Stegostoma tigrinum: one gene and its partner. The protein of the gene in region 1 purifies or fractionates together with the protein of each later gene. This does not show direct contact. Links are inferred from orthologs where the notes say so. Each region holds a gene or a part of one and is shown on either strand. Other genes may lie near its edges.

Region 1 (16,027 bases):
GGGTTTTGCAAAAAGTAATGGTTTAAGGCACTCTTCTGGAAGTAGCTACTATAATGGCTGAGCTTTTGGATGTTGCTACTCTGACCCCCTGCAACCCCTCTCTTTAGTGCTAAGATATTGAGCTGTTTTCTGGTATGAGTTAAGATTATTTTGCTGTTGGAAGCGTTCACTAAGAATCCTATGGGGTGATATGGCCTCCTACTTAACTAATGTTCCTCATTAGCCCATGCTTGTTCCGTTCTCTATACTCTACCACCAGAGATGCAACACTTCTTTCTCTCAGTCGCCTTATTGCGGTATTATTGCCACCAGTGGTGATAGGTTCTGTGTCTTCATTGTTTCATTATAGAAATTAATTTCACCAGCACAGTCAGCATGTGAGAATAGCTGCTTCCTGTTTTAACTGGCTTTGCATAACTACATCGCTGAGATTCCTTTAATATACTTGAGGCATTTTTAGATTAATTCCTCTTGCCACAGCTTTTGAGAAACAGGCAATTTGTGTGCGTATGGAACGCACAAAGGATCTCTGGGCTCGCACATAAAAAGCACCACCTTGCCTTTATTGCAGTATGTCGTGAATTAGCCTTTTTTATTCAAAACTGCATCTAAAAAGGGGTCTGACATTGTGTTCCAGTGGCCGTGAAGGAGGGCAGTGCAAGTAATCCTTAAAACTAGAAAGCACTACAGTTTGACCATTCTGCGCAGGCTCGTGTCATCTGCCTTGCATTATAGCCACTTCTCTCCTGTGTACTTCTTAAAATTTGGATGAAATTGTAAGATCACTGTTTCTGCCTACCTTTAAGCCTTAGGAGCTTCAAGTGGCACATCATTTAGGGTCTGGAGTTAGGGAGTTTATAAAGAATGCTCAAGGAGCCATTTTTATATGAAACACTAAATTCCCAGACCAGGAATAACAGTTAAAAGTTAAATAGCTTGAAAGGGTGAGCATTGAAGTATGTAATGTACAATGCAATAGTAAAAAACTTGCTGAATAAAACTAAGAAAAAATGACAATTCAGCCCAAAAGGACGTACAAAGCCAAATATATACTAACTCCTCTTACCTGTGCTTCTAAAGGCTGAGAATTAGCTGGTCCAAAAGTAGAAGCAAATTATTCACCTCATGGAATGTGTTCCACTATTAAAGGACATCATGGCTATGCCATTTTCCTATCTTTTCCTCATAACCCTTGTTTCCCTTACTGATTAAAATATCTTAGCCCTGAATATAAGAGATCGCAGGCTCAACAGCCCTCTTTCGTGAAGAATTCCACGAATCACAGGGTTGTGAACACAGCCCAGTCCGTTACACAAACCAATCTTCCGACCATTGATTCTAACTGCACTTTTTGCTGCCGTGGAAAGGCAGCCAACGTCTTCAAAGACCTCTCCCACCCTGTTTATAATCTGCTGTATTAGGCAGAAGGTACAAAATCTTAAACACACAAACCAACAGGTTCAAGAACAGCTTCTTCCCCACAGTTATTAGACTTCTGAATGGACCTCTCAAATTGCAAATCTAATGTTGACCTTTTTGTGCACCACCTCTTGTGGCCGTAACTTTGTATTCCTCACTCTGTTCAATAATTCTATGATCTTTGTATGTTATGATCTGCCTGTAATGCAAGCAAAACAAAACTTTTCACTGTATCTAGTTACATGTGACTATAATAAATCAAATCCCCTGAGAGAAAAAAAGTCCTCCTCATTCTGTCTTATTCTGAGGTTATGCTCTCTGGTCCTAGCTCTCCCACAAGAGGAAACAACCTTTCCACATCTGACCTGCCAAGTCCCCTTAGAACCTTATAGGTTTCAATAATGCCTTTCATTTTTCTAAATTCCAATGGGTACAAGCCCAACCTACTCAACCTCTCCTCATAAGACAGTTCCTCCATGCCCAGGAACCTGCTCCAGGCTGTCTCCAATGTCAATATAGCTTTCTTTAGAAAGTGGACTCAAAACTGTTCACAGTATTCCAGGTGTGGTCTGATTAGTATGATTATTGTTTTTAGCAAAGCCTTTTTTAATAGTTTATTCTCTTTGAAATAAAGGCTAGCATTTCCCTTCCTTATTACAGTTGAGTTTGTATGCTGTTTGTGATTAATACATCAGCATCCCAAAGTCCTCTGTGCTGTGGCTTTCTGCAGTCTTTATTTGAATATTCAACTTTTTTCCCCTATTAAGGTGAATAACTTGACATTTTCCTATATTACATTCCATTATATAATCAATTTTCTTCTGATTTTCAAGTAAAATCTATCTGACTTTTCTGATTTCTGTTTGAAGCTAAACCATTAGAATTTGGTAGAATTAGGCAGACTGTTGAACTGGAAAGTACATTGTACAGCACAGAGGGATAAGGACGTTCTTGTTGTGAAATACAAAAAAAAGTTAGAATGCAGGTGCAGCAAATACTTAGGGCGAATACTTTGGCCTTTATTGTTTGTGGTTCGGTATTTAAAATGGAAACTCTTACTATAACAATATAAGATGTTGGTGAGGCTGCACCTGCGGTATTGTGTTCTGTTTTGGTCTCGTATCTAAGTGGATACACTGATGAAGGGTCTAGACCCGAAACGTCAGCTTTTGTGCTCCTGAGATGCTGCTTGGCCTGCTGTGTTCATCCAGCTCCACACTTTGTTATCTTGGGATTCTCCAGCATCTGCAGTTCCCATTATCTCTGTTACACTGATACTGGAGGCTGTTTGAGAGACTCATGAGGCAGATACCTAGGATGAAGGGGTTGACTGATAAAGAACGGCCAGTTTAGACTAAAATGAAATAAAGAACTCCAGATGCTGGAGACCTGAAACAATGACCAAAATTCCTGGAGAGACTCAGCAGGTTTGGCAACATGCGTGGATAGAAAAACGGAATTAAAAGTTTGGAAGCCAGTGTCCCTTTGTCAGAACCCTTTTTTTTGGTAAAGAGGTTAGGCCTTTATTCATTAGAATTTAGAAGAATGAGGGTGATCTTGTTGAAACATTCAAGATTCTGATAGATCTTGATGCGGTAGGTTGAGAAGATGTTTGCCATCATGGGGAATATCGAAATAGGGAACACAGTTACAGAATAAGGGAGCACTTGTTTAAAATTGAAGTGCAAAGGAATTTCTTCTCGAATGATAGCGAATGTTTGGAATTTGCTATCCCATAGAATAGTGGAGGTTAGATCTTTAAAGATATTTCGAGGAAGTAGCTAGATTTTGGAAATAGCCAGGAGTTGAAGGCTAAACGTAGTTGGTACGAAAAAAGAATTGAAGTGCGGGGCAGATCAGCCAGTATCTTTTCGAAGACCGAGGCAGGTTTGAGGGGCCGAATGGCCTACGGCTCCTATATTGTATTAGTTTCGGAGTTAATATAGTAGGAAAGAGCTCGGGGTTTGACCCTGATTGTTGTTGAGACACTCTGCGAACTCATCTAATTATGAATTGAATTCAAAACCAAATTTAACTTCCAAAAATGGAATAATTCGACCTTCGCTACCTGTGTCCCGTGGCAACTTCAAAATCCTACTGAACAAAACCTGCTCCTGATAGCTGAGAGGACTGGAATTGAAAGAAGCCGTCAATACCTTCCCGATCTGGGTATGGGGAGACGGGAGGGCATGAATAAATCGATGTAAAAAGTGTTATAGCAAGATATCTTCGTTAAAGGCAAACCGCTGAGGACCCTGGGAATCTAAGAAGAAAACAAAGTGCAGGAGAAACTCAGCAGGTCTGGGAGCATCTGTGGAGAGAGCATCGGAGACCTAACAAACTCTGCTGTGATTAGTACCCCAGTCTGCCCAATTTCTATCCTCATTCACACTTTTTACATCGCAAAACTGAATTTTGTTTAAAAGTTAATGGCTTTAAGTGATGTTTTTGGTTTGCAATGCATTAAACATAAACAAGGTTCTTTTGAATGTGTGATGTCCTCCGCGACGTTCTTTCATCAGACATCCTGCGCCTTGCTTCATATCCAGAGCTCTGAATAACCCCATTCAATGTTTATTGGATTTAGTTTGAAAAGGACGGTCCGTTCCCCATTGGCATCAACACGAACTGTGACTTTACTTCAGAGTCTGGGTTCAAAGAATATCTAACGATTCATATAAAGATAGATTTATATTTTAAATAAACCAACTGTATAGGCATGAGGTAGCAGAATTAACTTAGGATTGACTGAATCTTGGGATTAGTGAGACAAAGTTTTGTATGTCATTTTCACAGTCTCACGGCATCCTAAAACGCTTCACTATCGATGAAGGTATAGTCGCTGCTGTAGCAAAAGCGACAGTAAAATCGCGCACAGCAAGCTCCCATAAGGAGCAATATGAGCACGTACTTATTTAGCTGGTCAGATGTCTACTAGCGTTTAAAAACTATATCTCTATTCGTGAAATGAACTTAGCAAAAGTCAATATCCCTTTGTGGTTTTTTGACATGTTGGTGTTCCTTTCTAATATTTTAATTTTGACTTCGAACAATCATTTTAAACAAAAGTTTTCCATTGACAGATTTGTTGTCTCTGAAGTCCATCATTTTGTCTAGATTTCTGAGTCGAGTTTCTTCTAAGGCGATTCATTAAAATGTTACCAGTTAACTAGTTAGAAGTCAAAGAAGTTTCCAGAGTTCAAGTGCATGGTCTCCGAGTGAGATCTTTAGTCCAAAGACAATCTGGGGTAGAATTACTCTGGGGAATTTACGAAGCGATCATCAACAGAGTGATTTGAGCAGGCCCTTCTCATTTTGCACAACATTCCTCTCATACGTGCCTACCCTAACGAAATGATTCCGAATTCCGATTCGAAGCAAATGAAGTTTCTGTGGAGAGAAACCAGAGTTAACATTTCGAGTCCAGTAACCCTTCTTCAGAACGTGTTTTTATTTGTAAAGTCTCATGTTCTGCAACTCTTTTTTCCAGTGAGGTGCACACTGACGGTTTTATACGTCCAATTGTTAACAATAATTAAGACTTGCCTCCAAACTAATTTCTAAGTCGGTTTTATTTGGTTCAGTATAATTAAAACGCAACTTTGTCTCCAAGTAACAATCAAATTGTTCCGCTCCTACAGGACACTGACTCCGCGACGTCAGTTACTGTACCTCAGCTTCCACAGTCCCATTCATGTACAAGCTGAGTGGTTAAACTCATCAGGGACATGTGTAGATTTAAGGCGACGATATCAAACTTTTCTCTTCACACCCTTGCTTCCAACTCTGTCCTCCCATCCCTATTATTTATCCTGATTTCTGAAGTTCCCGCAACATTTAACGTGTGAAGTTCTTTCCCTTCACTTTTCCAACCTATTGTCCAGATGATCACTAACAGCGCAAAGAGCGAAACTGTTGATCTCTGCGAGTTTTCAACTCGACCCCCGCGCCCATGACAACCACAAACACACACAAAAAACATATTTTAACCTAAATTGTAATCACAGCATATTGTGCGCTCTTCAAGTCCAGATCTCTTTTCACAATGAAACAATCTATGGCTCCCCCACAAGTCAAGCCACGGGAGCCATCATTATTGCATCCCTGCGGGTGTAATTACACGATCCAAATGGGTCGAGTTCACATCCTGCAACAGGTACGTGCCACTGAGTTAATGCCAAGCGGTGTTTAACTCTCGCCAGATAAGTTTACCCCGTACCCCATCGCCAGACACTGTGGGTCGCGTCTGGGCAAATTTGAATTGGCCGGGGGAAATGTGGCGAATATGTCCCTTTGAGACACATCTTTATTTTCCAAATCCATTCATTTAAGGAAGCATTTACATCTTTAAAGCGCCTTTCTCAACATCAAGGCTCTTCAAGGTGGACCAGAGTCAATGACATGACCGGTTCAGTTCTCACATAGTCTAATCGCGCACAACAAGATCCCACAAACAGCAATGTGGTTTTGGTAGGTCCACCCATTCCAGTGACTGATCTGAACGGTGATAACGTATAAAACGTTCAGCAGGACACTGGTCCGCAAGGTTCTGGATTCAATATTCCCGTTCGGGGAACGGGGCTAGGGGCGGCGGCGGGACAGTTACTAATTAGGCTACAATAAAACGCTGCCGACTCTCGACAGGCCAATATATTAGAACAGAAACACAGTTTATTCCAAAAGGCTTAGTATTTGAAGGTAGAGGTCGATACATTTTTAGACACAATTAGAAGGAAAGGATCCGCGAGTAATACTCGAAGACAGAGCTGAGGTGACATGATCTTATTGAATAGTAAATAGTAACAGAAAGCCGAGGGGCCGAATGACCCACTCCCGCTCCCTTGTGACTTTCTTCTTCTGTGGAATAAGCTTCTCCCGGTATTCGATGTTGACAGTTTTGTTTCCAAACACATTAATGAGCAGGACCTGCAAAACACGTTCTTCAGAAATTGCTGGCAAAGCTCAACAGGTCTGGCAGCATCTGTGGAGAGAAATCGGTTAAGGTTTCGAGTCGAATGACAACGTTAACTGTGATTACACTCCACAGATGCCCTCCAGACCTGCTGAGCTTTTCCAGCAGTTTTTGTACTTTTTTTGTCTGATTTACAGCACCGCAGTTCTTCCGGTTTTTACAAAGATCTATTGGAATCCAACAGTGATCCTTACCGAATTCTGGTCTTTGTGCAATTGAGCCATTAAATTGAAATGTGGAGCGTTCTGCCGCGTAACCTGCTGATAGTTGCAGTTTTGCTTCACCTGGTATCTTGTGTCGTTTTTCGTTATTCACAGGGCAGTCAGTAATCCGTGAGAATGGAATGGGGAGGGTGGGGGGCACGGTACGGTGGGGGGCCCCGTTGGACAGGAGGAGGCCGCTCGGTCCCTTGAATGTGCTTCTCTCTAAAATCAGAGCATGGTTAATCTGGAGCTCAATTCCATCCTGCCACCTCCTCAATCCTTTCCTCTCTTTAAAAAAAAGGGAGAAAATGTAAAGATCACTCAGTGTGAGATTATATTTCCCACTGCTCCAATCATGGGTAATCATTGTTGAACATATGGAGCTCCTTTGTTCAATACGAATAACGGGCAAGTTACAAGATAGCAGCTTGTATATGGAGATTGTATAGAACTGTGTAACTAACTTGAGAGAACAACGTCCTGACGTCCTATGATTTCTCTCTGGAATAAATTTCGCTCGGTATTCGATGTTGACAGTTTTGTTTCCAACCACATTATAGGGCAGTTCCTGTAAAACACGTTCCTCAGCAATTGCTGGAAAAAAATACTCAGCAGGTCTGGTAGCCGCTATGGAGAGAAGACAGAGTTAAGGCTTTGGGTCCAATGATCCTTCCCCAGAACGGCTTTGCTTTTTTTTTAACGAAACGTTAACTCTGCTTTCTCTCCATACATGCTGCCAGGCCTGCTGAGCTTTTCCAGCAATTTCTGATTTTGTTTCTGGTTTCCAGCATTCGCAGAACTTTTTTTTTGGTTTGATGTTCTTCTGGATTCTGGCCTTGGGAATATTGGACACATGTTTGAGAGAGAAAAAAAAGCGAAAGTTCACGAATGATCTCCCAACGAACTTGCCTAAATATTCCGTCGGAGACTTGCGTTCTAAACTGTGTCGTGGACTTCACCCTCAGAGAACATGGGAACGGTTCCAATGTGCAATATTTACCTCGTGCCAACTGATAGGTGGCGTGGGTGGCTGGAGATGTAGGTGGTAATGCGGGGATGATGTGGGGAGGTATGGGTGTGGCAGTAAGTTTGGGGTGTGCGGAGAGTGGTTAGAGGGATGGTAAGTTAGCAGCAGAGGTTGGGAGAATATTTTTTAATGGGTACAGCTCTTTTGATAAAGTCATTCAACATCAAAATCTCTCCCATTGAAAGATCTTTTACAGCGATTCCCTCACAGGACGCCCAGAGGCGGTCTTTTCAGACATTGCTGAGTCGGTTCAGCCCCAGGGACTAATATTGAGCCACTGCTCTCCTGTGTCTTTATGGTTTGACCCTATGCGACTGTTGTAAGGACTGTAAACTCCTGATCAGAATACCTCTGCAGAAACGCGAACTAGAAGAAATCAATTCTAAACCGTGTGGATTCAGAGTTTCCTGCTCGTTTAGAAAGTTACGGGGAACCGAGCAGACTCCTTGTAGGAGTCGAAATGAACTCAATCCCGTTCACATCCCGGGGCGATGTGTGGGTTTTTTTGCTGTTGTATGTGATGAACCAATTAATTCTTAGCTTACCGAGCAACGGTGGATCGAGAATGATTGTAGAGATGAAGGGCACAACACTTCTCATCATACTTAAAATACATTAAAACAATCGATAACATTCACCTCACTCAATGCCCTGCACTCCTCAAAGAAATAGTTTCAGAATGGGAGGACACTTGGAAAGTCACTTGGGTGTTGGTGAGTCAGGAATTCGTTCCAATAGAGAGTTTCTGTGAAAATGCACTTCCTGTCGAAGGTCAATGGGTAATTTTCGATATTAATTAATTCTTTTATTTGGAGTTAGAACTGATCGCTCCACTCCTGAAGGAGCTTGTGTTGGCTGTAACGGATGGCAGGCAGATGGGTACGGAACAGAGGAGACAGTGAGCGTAGTGGTGTCCAACCAGTAACTCTTTCATCAAAGCTCAAAGTGTTATAAGATTCAGAAGCCGAGCCCCCACCCCCTTCCTCCCCACTCTCCCCCAAAGCCTCCTCGACTGAGGAAAACTTTGGCGCCAGATCGCCATAGCTCATTGAGAAAAAAATGCCACCACCCAGGAGATTTTCATTCAAAAAAAATCCCTCCTGAGTAAACATCCTCCAGCAGCCGGCGAGAGCTGGGCGCTGTTGCAGTGCTATTGAACAAACCCACGTTATTATGGGACTGGCGTGAAGGGCTCTGCAAGTGGGGGGTGGTGAGGAGGGAGAAGCAGCCAGGGTGATGTTGTGTAGTAAACAAAAGGGATTTTTGTTTGTGTGTGGTGGGGGGGGGGGGGGGGGGGGGCTCGGAGGGAGGTGAAACTGACGTGATCTTCCACGTGAGGGGCCGGCCGTGTGTAACCACGTGGACCTCTCCCAGGCAAATATTTCACTCATTTTTTAAGGTCGATTTTATTTGGAGGCGGTGCCACCAGCAACGTCCTGTGACATTTTCAGTTTGACTCAACGGGGTTTGGGGGTAGCAGATAGACTTTCACAGCCCGCCATACCGTTTCATAACTCCCTGTTTCCGGCTAACACTTTTTCTTTGGCCGTTTTGTGTTTTTCTCTCTCTCTCCTCCCTTTGCAACAACCGTTTACCATTTTAGTTGCTGCTGCTGGTGGGGTTTTTTTGTGTTGTTGTTGTTGGATATATCATTATTTCGAAGGTGCTGTTATAATTTTACACCCTCCCTTCTTTGCTCACCCCCCCAAAAAAACAGAGAAGCCCTAAGAATCACAATGAACAAGCTGTACATCGGGAATCTGAGTGAGAGCGTGACTGTGCCAGAGTTAGAAACTATCTTCAACGACTGGAAGATTCCTTTTTCTGGGCAGTTTCTACTCAAAGCGGGCTATGCCTTTGTAGATTGCCCAGATGAGAGCTGGGCAATGAAAGCGATCGATACCTTATCCGGTAAGCGATTTCAACCGATATCCAAAACGCAGGGGAGAGCTGAAGCTGTCTTGAGAACGCCGTTCACTCGGCGAGATTCTGTGTTCCTACCCAGTTCCTAGCAATGGCCTACCTACCTCCTACTCCTCCAGGCTAGGAAAAGGTTCTGTTCTGGAGAGAGTTGCACTGGTCCCTTTTTAATTTCTGACCAACACGTTAATGATTCGAGTCCTCCACTCCCTCCCCAAAAAGCGTGACATGTTGATTGTACAGAAAGATAGATAATAGAGATTTTAATGTAAAGATAGGGGGTGGGGGTGGGTGGGAAAGACGCGCCAATTCCTCCTGTACGTGAGAGGGGGCTTTATGTTTCTGGAAACCAGCAGGTTCTCTCTTTTTTTTAGTCAATTACACTCAACACACGCGGCGTTTGACCAAAAAAAAGATAGAGGAAGAGTCAGATTGCTATTCCGTCCTTTGGGAAGAAATCGCAGATAAGGAAACCCAGTTGGGTCAGATCTTTGGATCTGCTGCGGGATCTGGTTCCCACCACCCCCCCCCCCCCCCCCTTCCTTTGGATCAGGGTGTCTCTTGGAGAGAATGGTTCGATGCTAGCTAGTCCTTCCCCTTAGTGATAGTAGGCCGTCATTTGCAAGCTCCGTTATAATACCACGTTAGCAGTTTTAATTCTGTCTCTCGTCTCTTCGACACCCCCTCCCCTTCCTCAGGCGACCAGTCCGGGTAACATTTATCCCTCCTTCCCTCTGACTGGCCCCCCAAAACGGCGGCTGTAAGTGAATGCCGGTCGCCCCCAGCTCTCTGAATGATTCCTGAAATTGAATACAGCCTGTGATGGGGCACACACAGAGCCGAGGTCGGCCATACTGATTGTGAAAATACTATAGGACTGCAAGCATGCAAATGTCTAGGGCGAAAACCCCTATGCTATCCAGATAAAATATAACTTTCAGGTCCGATATATAATGTATTTCCATGTGTGTTGGATATACATAGCAGCGACCTCATCCTAAAGTTCCTCAGTAACTTACTAAGGAAATTAATCCTCAATTATGCACAACAGATTTCAACCCTCACACTCTTTTTAAAAAAAATGACAATCCATCCTGATAAAAACAGGGGTTCATTTCACCCAGTGTGTTTGTACAAGTGTAGACGAAGAAGGCGAAACGCTATTTTACTAAATAAAATTCAAATCGAACTTGTTTACAGGTAAAGTGGAACTCCATGGGAGACACATAGAAGTGGAACACTCAGTACCCAAGCGGCAGAGGTATTAGCAATTTCAATACTTGTTTTGCTTTGAATATTTATTTGGCGATATCCTGGAGAGTTGTTATGAAGTGAATTAGACATTTGTTTCTGGTTCCTGCTTGAAAGTGTGTGTGATTAAAATAAAATAGACGTACAAAGTTGTGAAGCTCTTCAGAGAAGCTATTTTTAAAAAACTGTGGTTATACTGTGCTGCAGTATGGAACAAATTTCAAATTAGTTGTTTCCTGAATCTATATGATGTTATTACAATCTTGAATTGAGGCGAAGTAGTGCAGCAATTGTGGGCAGCAACCCGCGGCTGGAACTGCAATGTGTTTTTCTGGAGATTTAAAGCGACGGGCGACAAAATAGGTTCAGTGTCGAGGAGCTGGATCCAGTGATTTTTGTTGTAGCTTTAACGAGCTCTTCCCGCTTTTCTGCTCAGAAATTTAAAAGGTCACGATTTGAGAATGGGGAGAGGGTGGACGGTTAGAGATGCACCATTTCCAACACTACCCCCACCCCCAACCCCCCACCTTTGGCGAAACCGCTCAAGTAGATCACGTTGCAAACGCTGAAGCCTTGCTTTGGGTTCAAATCTCATTTGACTCCAAAGCCGATTCCGGGAACGCCTCGACCTACGGGAGAGAGCTTGCAAGAAATGAGCTGAAGGGGCAGTGGGAAAATCAATCTTCCGAGTTTCTTTACCACCCTTTCCATTTTCGCTTTGAATCGCTAAGGGACGCGTTGTCTCGAAACTAAGGATTCTTTGCAACAGAACTGTGCGAACACGTTGGCATTTTCATGTCCCTATATTGCTCTGAGTGCAATAGTTAACGAATTCTGTTTGATGTGTTTTGCCATGCATGACCTTTTACAAAACGGGATGCACAATTCCAATAAGAAAGTTTGACTGAGTTCTCATTCAGAAACCCAAGTTAAAACATTGACCCAGAATCTAACATGATGGCTATTCAGTGTGGAACCTGGTTTGGGTTACAGACATACCTGTAAAAGTATTTGCTTGTTCTTGCTTTAAAGTATTTGGTGCATGTGTATCTTTGCTTATTCTGATAAACTGGATAGTGCCTGTTGTAAAATGTCTATAAGTGCTGGTTCAAAAGATACCATAAAAGAAGTTAAGCACTGGATTAGAAATAATCACTTGATATCAATTCATATTATTATGTATTTAAAATGATAGAGTAGAGAGAGCAATTTATTAGTTCGGTTTAGCTGCAACTATTGTCCTCCATGTTAGCATTTTAACCAGACAGTTGTATGCTTTGTAACGCAACATCATCTGGTGTGTTAGATATAATCCATGGAGGTTTGTAAATCAAACTGTGCCCCCCCCTCTGTATTTTCAAAAGGCTGAAGATGAAGTTTGAATCAGCCAATTTGAAAGTTTTGAAAAGTAGTTACAATATTCAGCAAAACATAATTTAAAGTCAATTGTCATGGCTATAATCAATGATTTTAAAAAATCTGATCAGAACATTCAAAATTTAGTTAAGAACCTTTTGCCTTGTTCTTTATTGATGAACCTGGTTTGGAAGGAATGATGAGTAAACACTAAATATATAGACTGCAAACACAATTTATTGTTTTTACTGCCCAAGTTAGTTAAAAAAATTCAACAGTTAAAATTCAATTCTTTGGTGGTGGTGAACTACCTACATTCTTTACTGCTTTATTTAAAATATTCTATTATGTTTACATTTACAAAATTTAAAGACTTTGCATATGAAACCTTAACATCCTGTCTTCCTGAAAGAGATGTAACTATTTTGTTTTGTTAAAAATTAAGCACTTAAAATTGTTTTTGTGGAAATTTTGCTTGAAATTCTGAAGATCCAAAATGCAATGTTTGTGGTAATATCCATTGGAGTTTTAGCTTTTTCTTTAAAAAAACTGTGAAAATAGATATTAAATAGATCAATATAGAAATCTAAGTAAAAGTTCAAATGAAATAACATTGTTACTCAATGGAGTATTGTCTGTGTGTACTTAAATGTTTGGTTCAATGATCCTATTTACTGAAAGGATAAATTGCTGAAATTCTGAAGGCAGATAAAATACAATTTTATAATAGATTTAGTGAAATTAACTTTGTTGTGTTTGCTGTCAATCTGTCATTAGAAAAATGGATATCTTCTTGTATTTCATAAGAACATTTGTAAAACAAAAGTACAAACCTATTGCTTCAAGCGTGTTTTCGATTGTTACAAATGGTTTCAAGTAACTTAAGAGTTCAGTAATAGAAGTGTAGAAACTTTCATTTTATATATGAACATATTTAGCATTGATCAAGTGTAATTTTACAAAATTTTGTACTGACTGAATTCTATTCATAGGATTTGACTCTTAAGAAATAGTTGTGAATCTAGAGAGATTTTGTTTGGTAAATAAAATGAGTATTATAGTGTTTATCATTCTAATATCCTTTACTTTAAGATAAATAAACTGGCAATGGACAAAAAAGTTAATAAAATTCAGCAAACTAAGTTTACACCCTCGCATACATGAACAAAAACAACTTCATGTTTAACCATACAAAAACGTAATAAAAAATAAATGTCACAAACACTTGCAACTCTGTTCACAGTAAAAAAAATGTATTGATTAAAATGCTGGAAAGGTGTTAAAAATATGAATTTCTTGAAATTACTTACGAAGCATTGACTTCAGAATAGGGAAAACATCATTAAACATTTTGCTTAAAGAATACTTCCATTCCCATCAATTTATCCTCCCCGACCCAGAAAACACAGTCATGCAGGAACTCTATCAGCATCTGAAAAGGGAAGAGACAGGTTAACATTGATGGTGCTTGAAACATTAATTTCACTCTAGCCCATTCAGCTACAAAAATAAAGACTCTGTTGTTTCTCTTTAACCACTTTTATTACAATTACAGAAAGGTAACTTTTTATATCTTTAAATAAAATGAGGAAATAATAAGTTTAGCATAATCAATTTCATAATCAAATTTAGAATAACATTTATAAAAAATGAAATAGTAATTGAAATTTAGGAAAAAGAAGTTTAATTTTAAAATAGACTTTGCAAGGAATTAGACTTCATGGGTTATGTTCTAAAATATTTTGCGAAATCAAACAAAAACATTTTAAAGTAAACATATAACTTTAAGCAATCTGGCACAATTTACCCTAATGTCTGTAAAGTAGAAATGGCAGATATATCTCACTGTGTAATGTTTAATTGATATAATTTGTAGATCCTGAAATGACTGTCATACTTAAAATTATGGAGAAAGTTTCATTCCAGTTTTGAAATTCAATATTAAAAGAAACAAGGAAATATTACAACAAAAGACAACCAAACATCAAAATAACCAATGCATTTGCTAGAAAAAATGGACTATACAATTTACAAAGGAAATGGTTGATGTCTTCATTTGTAATTTCAAGTAGCTTAAGTTTTTTGAATGTTTGGCAAGTTACCATGATTAACACAAATGGATGAAAATAGTTTGAAAAATTCCAGGTTTAGGCTGTTGCAATGCTGACTTATCAAGACATAGAAAACTTTTTTAAAAAGAAGTAAATAATGGTTTCATTGATTTACAGAAATGGCTTGATAAGAGTTCTATGATTTTATCCAGAATAGCTGAGATAAACAGAGGTCAGGAACAAATTCCACTCCTAATTTATGCTGAGTTGGCTGGTCTCAGCCAGTCGAGTGGAGAGGGTGTGGTGGAGAGCTGCACAATTGGCCTTGGTATCCTTAAGAGGAAAGTTGCCGAGGATTCTCACTTCTGCTTGATAATCAGTACCTCATCCTGAAAGGATGAATCTCTGGCTACTGGGTTAAATCAGAATTGGATTTATATGTGGTGTCCTTCATGGGTGGCTACATTGCAAACACTTGGAGACAAATTTAAGTTACAAATTAAATAATTACTTGAATGAGGATTCTAACATCTCCCAGTATGCACGGAACTGGGCAAGGAAGGGAAAATATTGCCTACCAAATTGCATCCTTAAAAATAGCAAAAAAAAGCAACTTCCATAGACTTCCACTTTTAAAGCTAAGATTTATTTCCTCATTTTTCAGCAACTTGCAGCTTTGATGAGACTAAAATCTTATGCAGAATTTAGGAAATCTATTACAGTTAAGTGGAAACGTGCATTGTTTGGTGCTGAGGCCTTTTGTAGATTCGTTATGTACAACTCAAGTAGTGGTAGGAGTTGTTTGTGGCTAAGAAACTCTTGCCAAGCTGTAGTAGTTTGTTGACTTTATGAATGGAAAGGATCCCCATTGGTGTTATATACTGTGATTCAAACTTGTTTTTCTTTTGTCTGACAAGGTGGAGCAAATGACTTTATTGAATTTTCCTAAATTACAGAATAGGTGACTGTCTGCTTTTGTAAAAAGAAAACTAAAGTAAGATCCATTTTTTAAAAAACAAATCCTCCTGCTAAGTTGCCACACAAAATGGTGGCATAAGCCTTTCCTCGTTTCTGCATAGGTCATTATTGAGCAAAGCATGACCTTTGACCCAGACTGGAAGCACATACCCTATACTGCTAAATGGATTCCAGAGCTGCGTTACTGAAACCCCTCTCTCCCTTTCACTCAAAACCTGCAGAAAATTAATAATGTTACACATTTCTTAAATACTGAAATGTGTCTGTGTGTGTGGGGGAGGGGGGAAGAAGCTGTTTCAATCTGAAAAGCCCTTTGAAGTTTTCTCTTTCCATGTGCACACTTGTGTGTGTGTGTGTGTGTGTGTGTCTTTCGCTACCCCACCCCCCACTCCCCACTCTCATTGTAATTTGCAGTTTCCCTCCCGTGTGCACCCCTCACCCTCAGGCCTTTTAAGTTCAATAAGTAGAGCATTCCTAATCTATATGCTCATCACACAACAGAAGGTCAAGAGGTGGTGTCAGGACTGTCACATAGTCTAATTGAGCCTAGTGGATCAGTTCGGTCGGGCTGGAGGAGGGGGGGAAGTGGAAAGGAAGATATTTGATTTGGTTACATTTCTTAGGCCACATGTAATAAAGGTTCAAGTTTTTATCTCTTAAAAAAGTGCTGCCAGAGGTGGAAATATTCACTGTTCAAACAGAATAACCTTTGAACCATTGTTAAAGGAACTGAGGGTTGCACGCAGAATGTGAAGTCAGTTGTATGTTGGTTTTTTTAGTGGGGGTGGTGGCGCTGAGCGGAAGAAGGAGAGAAAGCAAGAACGATTTAATATCAACTCTGAAGGTGCAT
Region 2 (16,060 bases), on another chromosome or scaffold:
AGGAAGGAAAGATGAAATCTAGGAATGACAAGAGGTAGTTAGTTAATAAATTCTTCAGTTGTGACTCAAAGTGCCATTATGTTGAATTGTCCAATAATGCAATATTGCTTTTGTTTTTTGAGATGATGATACATGAATTGGAAGGTATAGAATGAGAGAGTGCCACACTGATGAATCGGAAGGAACTATATTGATCACTAGATCCTTCAGTCCAACATGAGTATTAATCACTTAGAGCCAGGGGCTTGGATGGAGAGCAATTTGTTAGTAGTGTCCAGGAAGGCTTTTTGAGGCATTATGTTGACCATCCAACCAGAGAGGAGGCCATATTGGACTTGGTCCTCTGGAATGAACCGGGACAGATGCTGATGTTTCAGTAGGAGAGCATTTTGGGTTTAGTGACCATAACTGTAAGATTTTGAGTAGTCATGGCAAAGGACATGTGGCCCTTGGGTGAAGGTGTTTAATTGGCAAGAGCCAGTTACACCCAAATTAGCAGGAACTGGAGAATGTGAATTGGAAGCAGTTGTTTGATGGCAAATCTACCTCTGGCATATGGGAGGTTTTTAAAGACCACTGGACTGAAGAGCAGGACAAGGATGACCCTGCAAAACTGAAGGATAGAATGGCAGGATTGAGGAACAATGAATGACGAGGGAAATTGGAAGGTCAGTCAAAAGGAAAAAGGAAGCATACAACAAATCTAGACAGCCACAAACTGACAAAGCCCTGGAGAAGTACAGAGTAGTTAGGAATGAACTTAAATGTGCAATTAAGAAGGCAAAAAGGGATGATGAAATGTCTTTAGCAAACAGGGTCAAGGAGAATCCCAAGACTTTATGCATATGTTAGGAGAAAGGCAGTAAAGGGAAAGAGAAGGTCCACTAAAGGACGAAGGAGGGAAGTTGTGCTTGGAGCCACAGGAAGTGGGGGAGATCCTGAATGAGTACTTTGTATTGGTTTTTACCAAGGAGAAGGACATGACTAATGTTGAGGTCAGGGATGAGTGTGTGAGTACACTGGAGAATGTCAACATATTGAAAGAGGAAATTCTGGGAAATGCAGCACAGTTTTGTCTGGGTTGTCTCACCAACCTGATTTCCTCTTCAGAAAATTCAGTGAGGGTAATTGATGAGGGAAGGGCTGTGGATGTAGCTTATGCAGACTTTATCAAATGCCTTACTAAAGTCCCACATGGCAAGTTGGTACAAAAACTAAAATCACAAGGGATTTGGGTGGCCTAGTTGGAGAGATAACTGGCTTGGTCATAGAAGACAAAGGGTAACATTGGAACGATGTTTTTCAGAATGGAAACCAATAATTAGTAGTGTTCCACAGGTGTCAGTCTTAGGTCCTTTGTTGCTTGTAGCATATATGAATCATCTAGAGGAGAATGTGGGTGGTCTAAGAAGCAAATTTGCTGATGACATAATGATTGGTGCAGTTGGTGATAGTGCCAATGATTGTGAAAGGATACAACAGGATAACAATAGAGTGGCAACTTGGACACAGAAATGGCAGATGGAGTTTAATCCAGACAAATGTGAGGTGATGCATTTTGAAGGAACAAATTTAGGTGTGAATTATAAATGGCAGAACCCTTAGGAATACTAATATTTGGACATATATGGGCATCCAGGTCCACTGTTGTCTGAAAGGGGCAACACAGGTGATTAAGAAGGCATATGGCATGCTTCCCTTCATCGTTTGGGACGTTGCAGCTATATAAAACCATTGTTGGGCCACGTTTGGAGTATTGTTGCAGTTTTGGTCATCACACTACCAGAAGGATGTGGAAGCTTTGGAGAGAGTACAGAGAATGTTCATCAGGATGTTGCCTGGTCTCCAGGACATTGACTATGAGTAAAGGTTAAGAAGACAATTGTTTTCACTGGAAAGGTGGCAGCTGAGAGGAGACTTGATGGAGGCCTACAAAATAGAGAGGCATAGATAGGGGGATAGATAAGCTTTTTGCCAGGGTAGAAGTTTCAATAACAAGGGGGCACAGGTTCAAGGTCAGAGGGGGAAAATTTTAAGGGAGATGTGTGTGGGGTGGTAGCAGCCTGGAATGCATGACCAGAAGAGGTGGTGGAAGCAGGCACATTGAAGACATTTAAGAGGCATCTTGATGGGTACATGAATGGAAGGGAATAGATACAGATTTTTTTTTAAAATGGCAGGTCTATTTTTAATTAATTAGGGCAATATGGTTGGCACAGGCCTGGAGGGCGAAAGCACCCATTCTTCTGTACTTTTTCATTTGTTCAAGATTTGTTTAATTGTGCAGTTGGCATAAAAATAGGTGAGAAGTCTACAGAAAAATATGACCAGTTAAGTGAGTGGGTAAAACTTGGTACACGAATTATTACATAGGAAAATGAGGTTATCCACTTTGGCAAGAACAATAAAGCAGCTGAATATGATTTAAACAGCTATCAATGACATGGGTATAGAGATTTAAAGGAAAAGAAGAAAATTATTCCAAAGCTACTTCAACATTTGTGTATTTATCTTGCCATATGTCGAAGATTGTGTTAAAGGATGCAGGGAACTTGAGGAATACAGTAAACTTAAGATAATGAAAAATATATTTTCAAAACAGACAGGGCAATTTCATTGTGTCATTAAAACCTCTCACCAATTGAAAACTTAATGAAACTAGTATTGGACCTCCAGTTTTAGAATAGACAATAATATTGTCTGTCTACATTTGTAGACAGAGACCAGATTTAATCTGCCAAGCCTGATAATAAAGACAAAAATAATTATCAAGAAAATATTTTTTTAAAAAGTGGATAACAGCAGGATTGGGAACACCAGCTCAATTCTTAATGAACAATGGAGAAATGGGGAATTCCGGAGTTTGTACGAGAATCTGGATGTTGTAGCCTTGCATGCAACAACAGGAAAAAAAATTTGAGAGAAATCACACTGATTACTAAAACGCTCTGAATAGGTTTAGCTGATATACGGAATTGATCAACAAATGCTTTGGATAGTACATGGTGTGGATAGTACATGCAAGAAGTATGCTTCGAATGGTATGATATACACCTCTCATAATTAGTTTATGACAGAAATCCTAAACTACCTTCAGAACTGTGGGATATTATCTCTATAGAAAAGACTACAATTAGTTCAAAATTTTTGCAGAAAATATCAGTGCTGTGCATTCGTTCAGAAAAGTATTCATTGAAGCAGAAGGTTTCTGAAAGGTTTCAGGAGTGCTTAGAGGTCATAATAGGCTGTCAAAAAAAAGAGCCTGAGATCATGGTGTATTATCCAAGGGACAACATTAGAAAACGTTATTGGTACTGATGGCAAAGCATCACAACCTAAAAAACCATTAATAGCACATTGTGCATGACTACTTGGAACTAACTACAAATTGACAGAACTTAAATCGATGACAAATTGAAAGTGCACTATGCACTTTGCGCATACACACGTAAGCTGGACCCTTATGGATACTTGATTGTAGCAGATATCAGGCTAAGTGCAGGTGGACCAAGTGATGGTGGTAGTAGAAACAGCAGGAAATGCCGTTAGGAAATTCTAGAATCCTGCCTGAATATATGAGAGACAGACTCAGGTCTATGAATTGACCTAATACTGATTGTAGCACAAGAAAAAGATCAAAAACTTGGGTAAGGAAGTCCGGTTGTAGGAAGGTTAGATCAAGGACTAATAGGCCAGGAGGTCCTCATAACGGTAAAGGCAAGAATGTATGAGGAGCACCGTACGAAGTTGGAGCCCTTGTCATAATCTCAAGTGACTACCAACTAATTAGACAGTAAATCGGTGAAGGCAGAGTAAACAATGCAACAGTTGCAGAGAGTATACCCATGCATGCCAGATAAAGGGCACCCAACATTGTTCCAGTTAGATATCTATGGAGAAAGTACTTCCTAATAATATATATATAAATCTATGCCGAGACTTCAGGAATTTGAGGAACAGTTGGGTGATAAAACAAAACAAAAGTAGACTGCTCAACAGCAGGAAAACTAAGTTTGAAGATTTTCCTAATGTACTGATGAAAACACAAATCCATTGCCAAAACAATACTTTTCCAAAAGAACAATTTTTCATAACAGAAATATCCACTTGAAAATGTGTCATACAAAAGAAGTTGAAGACATAAGAGATTAATGCACAAGATTAGAACATGGAATTAGGGGAAGTCTATTGTGATGGAGAGGGAACTGGTAAATTTCAAATTGGTAGGCAGTAACTAGCAGGATGCCACTGGGATTGGCGCTGGGACCCCAAGCTATTCACAATATATGTTAATGATTTGAATGAGGGAACAAAATGTAACATCTCCAAGTTTGCAGATGATACCAAGTTGGGTGGGAGGGTGATCAAGAACAAGAATACAGAGATTCTTCTACAAGAATCTTGACAGGTTGGGTGAGTGGGCAAATCAATAGCAGATGTAGAATAATTTGGATAAACGTGAGGTTATTCACTTCAAAAGCAAATTACCTGAATGGGAGAGGGGAGTGTACGGTGGGCCCAGTCATCCTTTTGCACCAGTTGCTGAAGGTAAGCATGCAGATGCAACAGGCAGGAAAGAAGGCAAATGGTATGTTGGCCTTCGTTGCAAGAGATTCTGAGTACAGCAGCAGCCATGTGTTGCATTTATACGGGAGCTTGGTGAGATCACATTTAAAATATTGTATGCAGCTGTGTTCTCTTCTGAGGGAGGATGCTGTTTTGAGGGAGTGCAACAAAGGCTGATTTTGGGGATGGCGGGTCTGACGTAAGAGGAGAGACTGACTAGGTTGGGATTGTTTTTGCCAGAGTTCAGGTAAATGAGGGGGTATTTCATACAGACTTAAAATTCTAACAGGACTGGACAGATTAGAGCAGGGAGGACGTTCCTGATGGCAGGTGTGTCCAGAACCTGGGATCATAGCATGAGGATTCAGGTAGACGATTTAGGATGGAGGAGGTGATGTTTCTTCATACAGTGGTAAGCCTGTGGAATTAATTACCACAGGAAGCAGTTGATGCCAAAATGTTGAATGTATTCAAGAGGTGACTAGAGAAAGCATTTGGGGTGAATGGGATCAAAGGTTATGGGGAGAAACCATGGACAATCAGCCATGATGGTGATGAATGGTGGAGCAGGCTTGAAGGGCCAAATGGCCTCCTCCAGCTATCCTCTAATCTGTCAAATACAAAACACGTTAGAAAGAAAGGAAATTTCTAAAATAAATGGTCAGTGTAAGCCACCAGCTATTGGATTATTTTACAAAAATGTTTGTTCAAAGAAATTGTTGAACATTTTTGAAGTGGGACACCCAGAATTTGAATTTTGAGAATACAAGTATTCATTGTAATCTTATTGACTTTTTTCAAATTGGAATTATGGAGTATGTTAAGGATATTACGTAATGTTTTCTTATGAATGAGCTTTTGTTTGCATATTAATTTATTTATTTTGGAGAAAAAGAGGGATGTCTGTTCGTGTCTAATAGGTTCAGGTGATGAGCATTAAATACCTTGTATTTAAAGAAAATAAGGTAGACAAGTGTTGGGTACTGTTTGGTTATTTATACATAGATGTATTTAATCCCTTCCAAATACATTTTAATTCAGAATTCTCCTCTGGATCCTTCAAAATTTTGAATTAATTTTTTGTGCCCCTCGGGTTGTTTTACTTTCATTTTGTTTGATAATGATAAAATCTGGATTCCTTTAAAAAAGAAAACAGCTAGCATTTAGGAAGGGATATTTAGAATGAAGATGTAAACTCTGCAGCATGCAAGTCTCGACCAAAGCATCCTAGTCTCAGTGCATTCTTCACAAATAGGCTCTGTGGTCCTTTAACACACTTGCACAAAAGTTAATAACTCAGAGCACTTCAGTCAATTGTGCCACCCATACTACTATTTCTAAAATAGACAGGGAAAACACAATTTTGGAGTCTTCCTAATTTGTATGGATCAGAAGCTGCCATTCAAATCTAGTAGCAAAGCTGCATAATTTTATATAGGAAGGTATAAATCTATGTATGCCTCAGAACTTTCACTAGAATGTAGTTTTAGTCAGCAATATATCTAAAATACATAAGAGAATCACCAAATTTAAAGGTCTAAATCACATGTGTAGAGTATCTTTGAATAACAGTTTGTACCTAAAATCAATGAAGACAACCGATGGTGAAGGTAGATGAAGCCAAAGCTTAGTTGTGCAAGGGCGCTGTTGGAGTTAACTGAAACTGACATTTTACAGCAGAGAACTATTTAGCTTCCTGCTGCTTAACACATAATATTATCAATTTAGTATTTCATTATAGGCTTATTTTCATGCATGTAAAATGCCAATTCCAATCACTCATCTTTTCCCTCTACACTAACTGATCAATTGTTCACCAGGCTCTCACTCAAAAATAGGACTGCACAGTCTGCCATATAAAAATGATTTAGTTTTGTTTTTAACTTCCATTATTTTAAGTGTCAGTTTAGAACCACTTTAATCCCAAATAAACCTTTCCAAAGGAAGATTATCTGTAGTTAGTCAAAATACAACTAATACTAGATATGAAGCACTACTCGCTGTACCCAAATTGACCTTTCCAGAGGAAGATTGACAGCATACCAATTTAATATATAGTTGATTAAAAACCAAAAGAACTGTGGATGTTGTAAATCGGGAACAAAAATGAAAGTTGCTGGAAAAGCTCAGCAGGTCTGGCAGCATCTGTGAAGAAAAAAATCAGTTAACCTTTTGGATCCGGTGATCCTTCCTCAAAAAACACATCTGGATTTAAAGCCATACCACAAGTATACATCAGGTATTTCAAATGAGGAGCATGGTCACTAGCAGAATACATCATGAAATGACTGAATGCATTGCCATCATCCTCCAGGCAGGTACAAGTGGCAACCTTTCCTTTTGTAAGATTATAGTTTGTGCTGTGCTTTGGTTCCAGTTGTGTTTGCTGCAGAAGACAAGTATGCTGATTAAGTTCATGATCCTTACCCCACCCAGTCAAACAAATTAACTCATCTCTTGCAAAGTTCTTCCAGCCAGTCTCCAAAGATCATGGCTATCAGTGACTGTCACCTAGTTATCAATGTCCATAATTTTCTTATCTCACTTGCAGATTGCCTTGTTTCAAGATTTCATAACTCAGTAGCTAATTCACCATACAGAAGGTGTTTTTGTATACTGCTGGCCATCCAAAGCAAACTTTAATGACCTAGCATTGAGGAATAGTGATGGAATTAGTACATCCCAGCACCTCTGAGTTGGAGACTATGAATATGTCTGAAACAGGTAATATCAAAACCATTTGGCTTTTCCTAATACCTGCATACTTTATTAAATTTTCACCACTGTAGAGGATTGCACTGAGGACACAGGCTTGGGAAGACTTAAAAAGTTTAACATGCTCAAGTTGTTGTTCACACTCTTACGTGGAAACTGAATAACAGTTGCAGCTTTTGTAATCTGTGTTGATTTCTGCATCAAGTAACAGATTTCAGGACTTTATGTAATCTAGATAATGTGAAGCTATCAACAATCTACTGTGTTCAAATCACTGATATTCTTGGTGTTCATCTCCAATGAGATTTATCTCTGTTAATGCAGATTTTTCACCATTTAATGGATTTTAGTGGATCATTGTTATTGTCCAGCCTCCTATGAAATTATCAATGAACTATAAAACAAAAAAATACCCATAATAATGGTTCATACATCATATAAACTTAGTAATTGATATTGATTTTTTGAATTATACTGGCATTTATGGCAGTTGGTGCATTAATTTTGCCAAATGCAGTGTATTATCAAATTACGTGAAAAGCTCAATGTTGCTCTAAAACAAATATAAATTGTGCATAGCGAATATTAATCAGAATTTTGATATTGTGGTTTACTCTAAGGTGGGTATCCCCATCAAGACAGCCATTACAGTTTTTGGAAGATAGAAATGACTATCAATGCAGCCCTAGAAACTTTTTCTCAATCCTCAAAACGGTGGTCTTCTGGACAGGGAAAGGATACTAAAAATCTAGAAAAAAAATCCTACTAAACATTGCTGATCTGATGTTTTTCATTCAAAAGATATTGTGGCATAAAGCAACACCTGCCCTTTATTTGTATAAATCCAGAAAGTACATCAACTGATGGATGTGCAGCCATGTAAGTGAAAACGAGGGTCGTGGGAAATGCAACAAAATGAAAAACGTGCGATTTTGATCCAAAATTAGTTAAACAATTACCTTAGACAACATACGTACCATTATTTTTCCAAAACATTTCAGGACATGAAAATGTAATGTTCTTTTTAAGTAGAATTACAGGCCGTACAATTGTGTTTTGGAATGATGTTATCGTTTCACTACTTCTATTACAAGTTTTGCGAGAACAAACAATTTTCTTCTTACTCATCCGCAAACGCCTATCCCATTCAAGGTCGGCCACTGTCGCCAAAGTCAAATTTTGTTTCCGAATAATATTAGTTGCACAAGAGTGGTTATTTAAGTCTTAACTTTTACAGTGTGAGTAACTGGTAATGGGGATACCAGAACTAATAAGGAGTCAGGGCTATTGCCATTCTCATCGAGCCAGTTGGAAAATAGATTGAAACACCACCACAAACTTCGAGCACACAAAGCAGGTTACCGTTGCAATGTAGTGTCGGAAATGTCATTCAGGTTGGACGTTAGTGATAATGGGAACTGCAGATGCTGGAGAATCCAAGATAATGAAATGTGAGGCTGGATGAACACAGCAGGCCAAGCAGCATCTCAGGAGCACAAAAGCTGACGTTTTGGGCCTAGACTCTTCTGCAGAGAGCTGATGAGAGCTCTGATGAAGGGTCTAGGCCCGAAACGTCAGCTTTTGTGCTCCTGAGATGCTGCTGGGCCTGCTGTGTTCATCCAGCCTCACATTTCATTATCCTGGTCAGACGTTAAACCAGGTCTGAGGAAGGGATCACTGGCCCCGAGGCGTTAACTGATTCTTCTTTACAGGTACTGCCAAACCTGCTAAGCTTTTCCAGCAACTCCTGTTTTTTTTTGGCGATAACAAGGTGTAGAGCTGGGTGAACGTAGCAGGCCAAGCAGCATCAGAGGATTTTCGGGTCTCCAACATCGGCAGTTCCTACTATTTCTGCTTTGTTTTTGGCTCCTGATTTACAGCAGCCACAGTTGTTTCGGGACTTTTTTTAAAAAAAAATAGACGTTACACCAGCCAGCTCTCATATGAAAGACCAGATGCCCCTGTTGTAAGTAAAGTTTTGCACTTGTCGGAGGTGAGGCAAACCACCTCATCAGTGGCACTTTAGTTACGCGCGAGATATTTTCTCCGTACCGAAGTTTTTAAAAAAAACGCAAAATACTGCGGACGTTGGAGATCCGAAACAAAATGCAGAAAGCGTTAGAGAAACTCAGCAGGTACCGAGTAGCGTCTGTGGAGGGAGGAACCGAGTTAGCGTTTCGAGCCCATCCCCATGGCAAGGTCATTTCTGAACATCGGTGTTGCATCAGATAAACCCTAGTGTCAACTGCAGTGACTGAAACGCTGTACGTTACCAAGGCGACAGTGCGTGGTCGAGTCTCCCGCACACGCCCTCTAGCCACCGGTTTAAAGGGCAGTAAGGGGGCGGGGCCTCTGGTGGACGCGGGACGTCAGTTCCGGTGGCGCGCGGCGTTCTGGGAAGGTGAAGCGGTTAAGGTCGGTTCCGCCGCCGGTTCGTCCGATTCTCTTTAGTGTTTGCCGTGTGTCGGCAGCGGGAAGCGGCTCTTCTTTCCTGCTTCGCAAGCGAATGGATTGACTCGTTTCTTCAGAAATTCGGCTTCAAGCTCGCTTTTTTGAAGAAAGGAGGTAAGTTTCGAGTGAAAAGTAGAGGCCGGAGAGGAGGCTACGGGGCAGCGGCCCCCAGCGCTCGGTTTGTCCCAGGAGTTGGGACCCGGCGGATCCGGGCGAGAAACTCTGGAGGAGGGCAGTCTGCTGCGGTGAGGATGACCAGGCCCCACTGCCATCTCGTGGGCCGTCTGAGACCCTTGTGAGAACCCTGCTCCCCCTGGAGTAGACCACCAGCTCAACCCGGTTGGTTTTTGAGTGCTGATCTGTCCCATATCATCTGGTCAGTCCAAACTCAGGGCCCATAGTTTTCCAAAATTCTGACAGCTTCCATCATGCATCCATTTTCCGAAAGTTGGTAAATCCTGAGCAAGTGTTAACAACACCACCTTCCCCAGAGTATGCTAAAGAAATGTTATCTGCCCGAATGAAAATAATTGAAGTGTTGTCATTGGCTAAATCGTGCTCTACAACTGAGAATATCCTAAAATCTGCAAATTACAGACTTTTGGAGTGTAAACGTATCACATACCGTCATTAGCAAAGCTCTTTACCCCGATAAATCAACTGTTTGTGTCTTTCCCAACATCCTAATGAGCAAGTTTGGAGCACCGTTCCCTTTTTAAAAAAACTTTGCATACTAGTGTTAGATGCCTAAACTGTGTTCCCCTCTTCATGTGCATTCCTGATCCTCAGATATGGTCTCCAAATTCCAAGCGACTGCTTTTGGTTTTATTATTTCATGGTCTGTCTCAAGTTGTGAGCTTTGTTTTGTTTTAAGAAACATCTTTTTAGTAATTCTTTTTTGTCCATGAATTATAATTCTGTATTGGCTGGTTGGAATGTACACAAATTAGCAGTTATATGGATTTAAACTTTGAGATTTTCTGCTTCAGTGCTCTCCAGATTGTTGATTTCCTGCTTGTGTTGATTAGTATATTGGTTTCATGGTAATTGTGCAGGCATTACACTATAAAATTGTTGCAGTTAATGCTTGTGTTGAATTTTCTTGGTATTTTGCAGATGTAATCTTCACTAACAGAATTAGGAAACCTGATGTCCCAAGTTACCATTTGTAGCAATTACACATCAGAAGTTTGTGGGAAGTTGGAGATTGACAGGACTGGGACAAATGGGAGGTTGAACATTATTGTAGAAGTTATGATGTATTCTGAATTTCTAAAGCTGTTTGGCTAGGCTATGTGTCAGCCTACAAAGTGGGATGGGCTCACTGAGTGTGGCTAAGGTGACTATTTTAAGAGGCTTAAAGGATATGAAGAGGCAGGAATGTTTTGGGAAGCAGCAGTAAGGGAATGGTTAAATAGTCAAAGGCAGAATTGCTAATGATGATCAAAGGGACCCAAAAAAAAACTAAAATTGGAAACCTCTGTGATGTGTTGCAGGATTGGTAAGTGTTAGAGGAGTGGGCAAAATGAGGTTTTTCAACAGTAGGATAAGATTTTTGAATGTGTTGCATTAACTAAAGTGTCTATAGATCAGTAATGGTAGGATTATATGCAAACAAAGTCGGGGGTTGGATGTGGTCAGTAAGGATTTTGAATGAGCTGAAGTTCTCAGATAGCTAAAATTTGGAGTGACTGTGGCATGGGTGGGATTTTTGGAAGGTTAAGATTTAGATATTTTTAGGTTCTTGCTAAGCATATTAAAGTTACCAAATCAAGGTATGTGAACATTGCGGTAAAAGACCAGCTATGATGCTGAATGATAGAAGAAACCTGGGTTGAATAGCCTAATCCTATTCCTGTTTGCTTTAAATACATCACAGGTGGTTGAACCTTTTTATCTTGTTTTAAGTCCAGTAGTGTATTTCTGCCGGCACAATCACTGAACAAACGGAATTGCCCACTGTACTCTTGATCACCTGTGCTTTTTGTTGATGACTTACTGTGACTTTTTTGCTTATTTACTTCACCCCATTTCCTCTTGTAATTTCTAATAAACTTGCCATACCTGTTGGCAAGGGTTGTTCCTTTTGCAATTGATTATTTGCATTTGAAGTGAAAGTTTCTAATTTTTGATACAAAGCACAACCGTTTTCAATTGTGATGTTAGTTAAGGACCAGTATGTCATTTCAGAGAATAAAATCTCCTGTGACAAAATTAAAAATGGAACAGAGCTCTCCTAATGCCCCATCAATATTCCATTCAACCAAAGCTATTAGAAGTAGAGATAAGTGTGAAGCTGGATGACCACAGCAGGCCAAGCGGCATCAAAGGAGCAGGAAAGCTTGACGTTTCAGATCAGAAGGGTCCCAACCCGAAATGTCAAGTTTTCCTGCTCTTCTGAAGCCGCTTGGCCTGCTGTATTCATCCAGCTTCACAACGTGTTATCTCAGATTCTCCAGCGTCGCCAGTCCCTACTATCTCTATCAGAAGTAAATTTAGCTATTCAGTCACTTGATATGAACATGAGAAATAGGAACGGGAGGAGGCCATTCAATCCTCGAAGCCCATACAGTGAGATGATCAACCATTGCTGAATCTACTCCACACCATTTTCTTGCATTGTCCCAGTTTCCTTTGATATCATTAATATGCAGAAATGTGCCAATTTCTGTCTAAGCTTCCACAACACTGGGGCAGAGTATTCTGAACATTCAGCACCCACTGAAGAAATTCTTTCTCAATTCTGAATGGCCTCACATTATTCTACAACTCTTAATTTTTAATTTAATTTAATTTAATTTAATTTAATTTAATTTAATTTAATTTAATTTAAATTATATTAGATTCCCGACAGTGTGGAAACAGGCCGTTCGGCCCAACAAGTCCATGCTGCCCCTTGGAGCATCCCATCCCCCCCCATAACCCACACACCCCTGAACACTATGGGCAATTTAGCATGGCCGATCCACCTAGCCTGCACATCTTTGGACACTGTGAGGAAACTGGAGCACCTGGAGGAAACCCACGCCGACACGGGGCGAATGTGCAAACTCCGCACGGAGAGTTACCGGAGGCTGGAATCGAACCCGGGTCCCTGGTACTGAGACTGCAGTGCTAACCACTGAGCCACCGTGCCGCCCCTCTTGTCCACTGGTTTTTGACCTCCCCTTGCAAGGACAGACATCCTCTTGAATCTACCCTATCAAGCCATGTATATTTTATATGTTTGAATGCGACTATACTTCATTCTTCTCAATTTTATAAAATAAAAGCCTAGTCTGTTTAATCTTTCATTATAGTGCAACCCCCCATTGCAGAAATTTGGTGAACCATTGTTATACACACTCTTTGCACTCTTACCAAAGATATACTCAAAAATGCACAAATACTCCAAGTGTGATTTCATTTAAAACGTTATGTATTTGCAGCAAGACGTTTTTGTCCTATACTCAATGCAATTGTAATTAAGTTTGGGGTGGCACGGTGGCTCAGTGGTTAGCACTGCAACCTCACAGCGCCAGGGTCCCAGGTTCAATTCCAGCCTCGGCATCTCTATGTGGAGTTTGCACATTCTCCCAGTGTTTGTGTGGGTTTTCTCCCGGTGCTCCAGTTTTCTCCCACAGTCCAAAGATGTGCAGGCCAGGTGGATTGGCCATGCTAAATTGCCCTTAGTATTTACAGGTGTGTGGGTTATAGGAGGATGGGTCTGGGTGGGATGCTTCAAGGGGCGGTGTGGACTTGTTTGGCCGAAGGCCCTGTTTCCACACTGTTGAGAATCTAATTAAGGCCAGCACACCATTTCCCACTTAATTGCTCACTATACCTATGTTGTCAACTTTCAGTGACTCATGAAAAAGGATATCAGTGTCCTCTTGACATTCTCTACTTCCCAGCTTCTTGATGTTTGAGAAATATTCTGTTTGTTTTTCCTACCAAGTGGACAATAATCCATCTGTCAAATGTTTGACCATGCATTCAGCCTCTGTTGATGTCTTTGCGTGCCATCATGAATCCCAAGCAAAATTTTTGTAAATAAGTTTTCTGCTATCAGTCAAAAGTAATCATGGGTTTTAAAAATACTTCAGGATGTCCTGATGGAATGATAATTCAAGTCCTTGCTTATCAAGAGATAATCTTTCACAATAGACTGATGTAGAACGCTAGTGGAGGCAGTAGAGTGAAGCGTTGGGATCTTATGTTCGTGAGATTATGTTGCCATGTCAGAATAAAGGCAGCATCATTCTGATCCATCTTTTTACAACTGATATGACTTAATATCTTAAATGTGTGATTTGAAAAGAGACAGTAGGTATGGAATGCTACAAAAATTTGATCATGAACAGAACTGGATCAAAACCAATTCACTGACCAGAAATATTTGCTGCCATTCTTTGTAAAAGTTGGTGAAAGTCACAATTGCAATACAGATATCTGTTGAAAATCAATTTTGCAGTGCCACAAACCTGGATTAGCCTGTACTAAACTACAATAGAGGTCAGCAGGGCCACTGTTTCATCAAGACTAAACAAATCAAATTCCGTTTTTGTTGCAGTGTGATTCCAAAATTTTGTCTTTGTTTTTATGATGTATCCAAGTAATATTTAACATAATTAATCTTACTGAACCGGGCATGTTTAGTTTGCACTCCAGGTCATAGGTCTTCACTGCTGGTGTTGTTTTTGGAGTTTCTTCAGAAGTGCCATCCTTTTATCTTCATGAAAACCCAGTCCTTGATAGTAACTAGTATCAAATCTACAGGAATATGGTGACTTGCCCTATGGATTTATGCTGGTATCTATGGGTCAAGGACTTCAGTGTGTAGAAAGTCTGGACCATCTGGACTTTCTGTTGGTGCAGAGGAGGTTGAGTTGATGGGACTGATCAAAATCACAGATGATTTTCCCACAGACAGTTTAAAAAAAAAAAAAAATTTGCAAGCCAAAATGATCAGTTGTTCAGTTGTGCGGCATCACACATGGATTTAAGGTAATTGGCCAAATGATCTGAGATGACACGAAATATCTTGCAAACCATTTCTCGCTTGTGGTTGGGAATGTACTGTCAGAAAAGATAGTGGAAGTCGATACATAAGCAATGTTGAAAAGCAAATTTGATAATTGAAGCGAAATGCATTTGAGTAGCGGTTAATTTGGGTTATTGTACCAAAGGTTTGCAAGGACAGACTACACATTTCTATGGTGCAGTATATAATGCTTTGATCAGTCCATTTGGAGAGAAGACGAGATAGGCTACCCTTTTTCTGAAAACACAGGAAAGGCAAATTGAAAGCGTATTGATTGCCATGATTAACAAATGATGACATATTGTTAGGTTGACCTGTTCGTTGATCTTTGTTTCGCTCCCTAGTATGAGAGCGTCTAAGCTTTGATTCAGTTTTTTAGCTGTCATTGCCTTGATAGCATGTATGCTGGTGAAGACAGACAGAGGTTCGTTGTGGTTGAACAGGTTGCTGTGAATTGGAATGAAATTTTGGAAGAGAATGTTCCAAGTTCATTTGAGCCTAAACCTGATCTCCTTACTGAATTAAATCCAGTAGGAACAGTATGGTGTGCTAATCTGTGTTCCCACCTCTTTTTTTGTTTTTTTGTTCACAATTTCTGCTCTTTTCCTCTCCTAAAGTTCCTTGGTGTGGTATGCTTGTACTCAGCACTTCTAGCAGGTGTTACCAGATAATGACTCAAACACATTAAGATCATTAATATCTGGTACCATCCCAATGGAAATGCCCTGACTCAGCAAATTAAATTGCATATAACACCTTTATAGAACATAGAACATAGAACAGTACAGCACAGAACAGGCCCTTTCTGTGGCCTGTTTGCATAATGAATATATTTGTTTTGATTTTTCATTGGAATTTTGTGTCATAGAGGTGTACAGCATGTAACGAGGCCTTTTGGTCCAACTTGTTGAAAGTTGCTGGAAGAGCTCTGCAGGTCTGGCAGCGTCTGTGAAGGAAAAAACAGATGCTGCCAGACCTGCTGAACTTTTCCAGCAACTTTGTTTTTGTTCCTGACGAACGACATCCGCAGTTCCTTTGAGTTTTATTTAGTTGTTCATGTTAGCCAGGTATCCTTAACTAATCTAGTTGCATTTTCCAGTATTTGGCCTCTATCCCTCTAAACCCTTCCTATTCATATACCCATCCAGATGAACAAAGAACAAAGAAAATTACAGCACAGGAACAAGCCATTCAGCCCTCCAAGCCTGTGCCGATCGAGATCCTCTGTCTAACCTGTCATCTATTTTCTAAGGGTTTGTATCCCTTTGCTTCCGGCCCATCCATGTACCTGTCCAAATACATCTT

What was found.
Region 2: the proteins of igf2bp1 (region 1) and stau1 purify together in Homo sapiens (affinity purification with mass spectrometry; 3 studies listed by BioGRID and IntAct, with this or other methods). This does not show direct contact. The link is inferred for Stegostoma tigrinum from reciprocal best matches to the Homo sapiens genes IGF2BP1 and STAU1.

Annotation. Positions count from the first base shown.
Region 1 is NC_081384.1:4,734,760-4,750,786, forward strand, and holds the start of igf2bp1 (insulin-like growth factor 2 mRNA-binding protein 1), read left to right. Parts: upstream 1-9,077; 5' UTR 9,078-9,357; coding exon 9,358-9,532; intron 9,533-10,741; coding exon 10,742-10,802; intron 10,803-16,027. UniProt on the Homo sapiens protein: RNA-binding factor that recruits target transcripts to cytoplasmic protein-RNA complexes (mRNPs). This transcript 'caging' into mRNPs allows mRNA transport and transient storage.
Region 2 is NC_081372.1:32,627,867-32,643,926, reverse strand, and holds the start of stau1 (double-stranded RNA-binding protein Staufen homolog 1), read left to right. Parts: upstream 1-9,658; 5' UTR 9,659-9,846; intron 9,847-16,060. UniProt on the Homo sapiens protein: Binds double-stranded RNA (regardless of the sequence) and tubulin.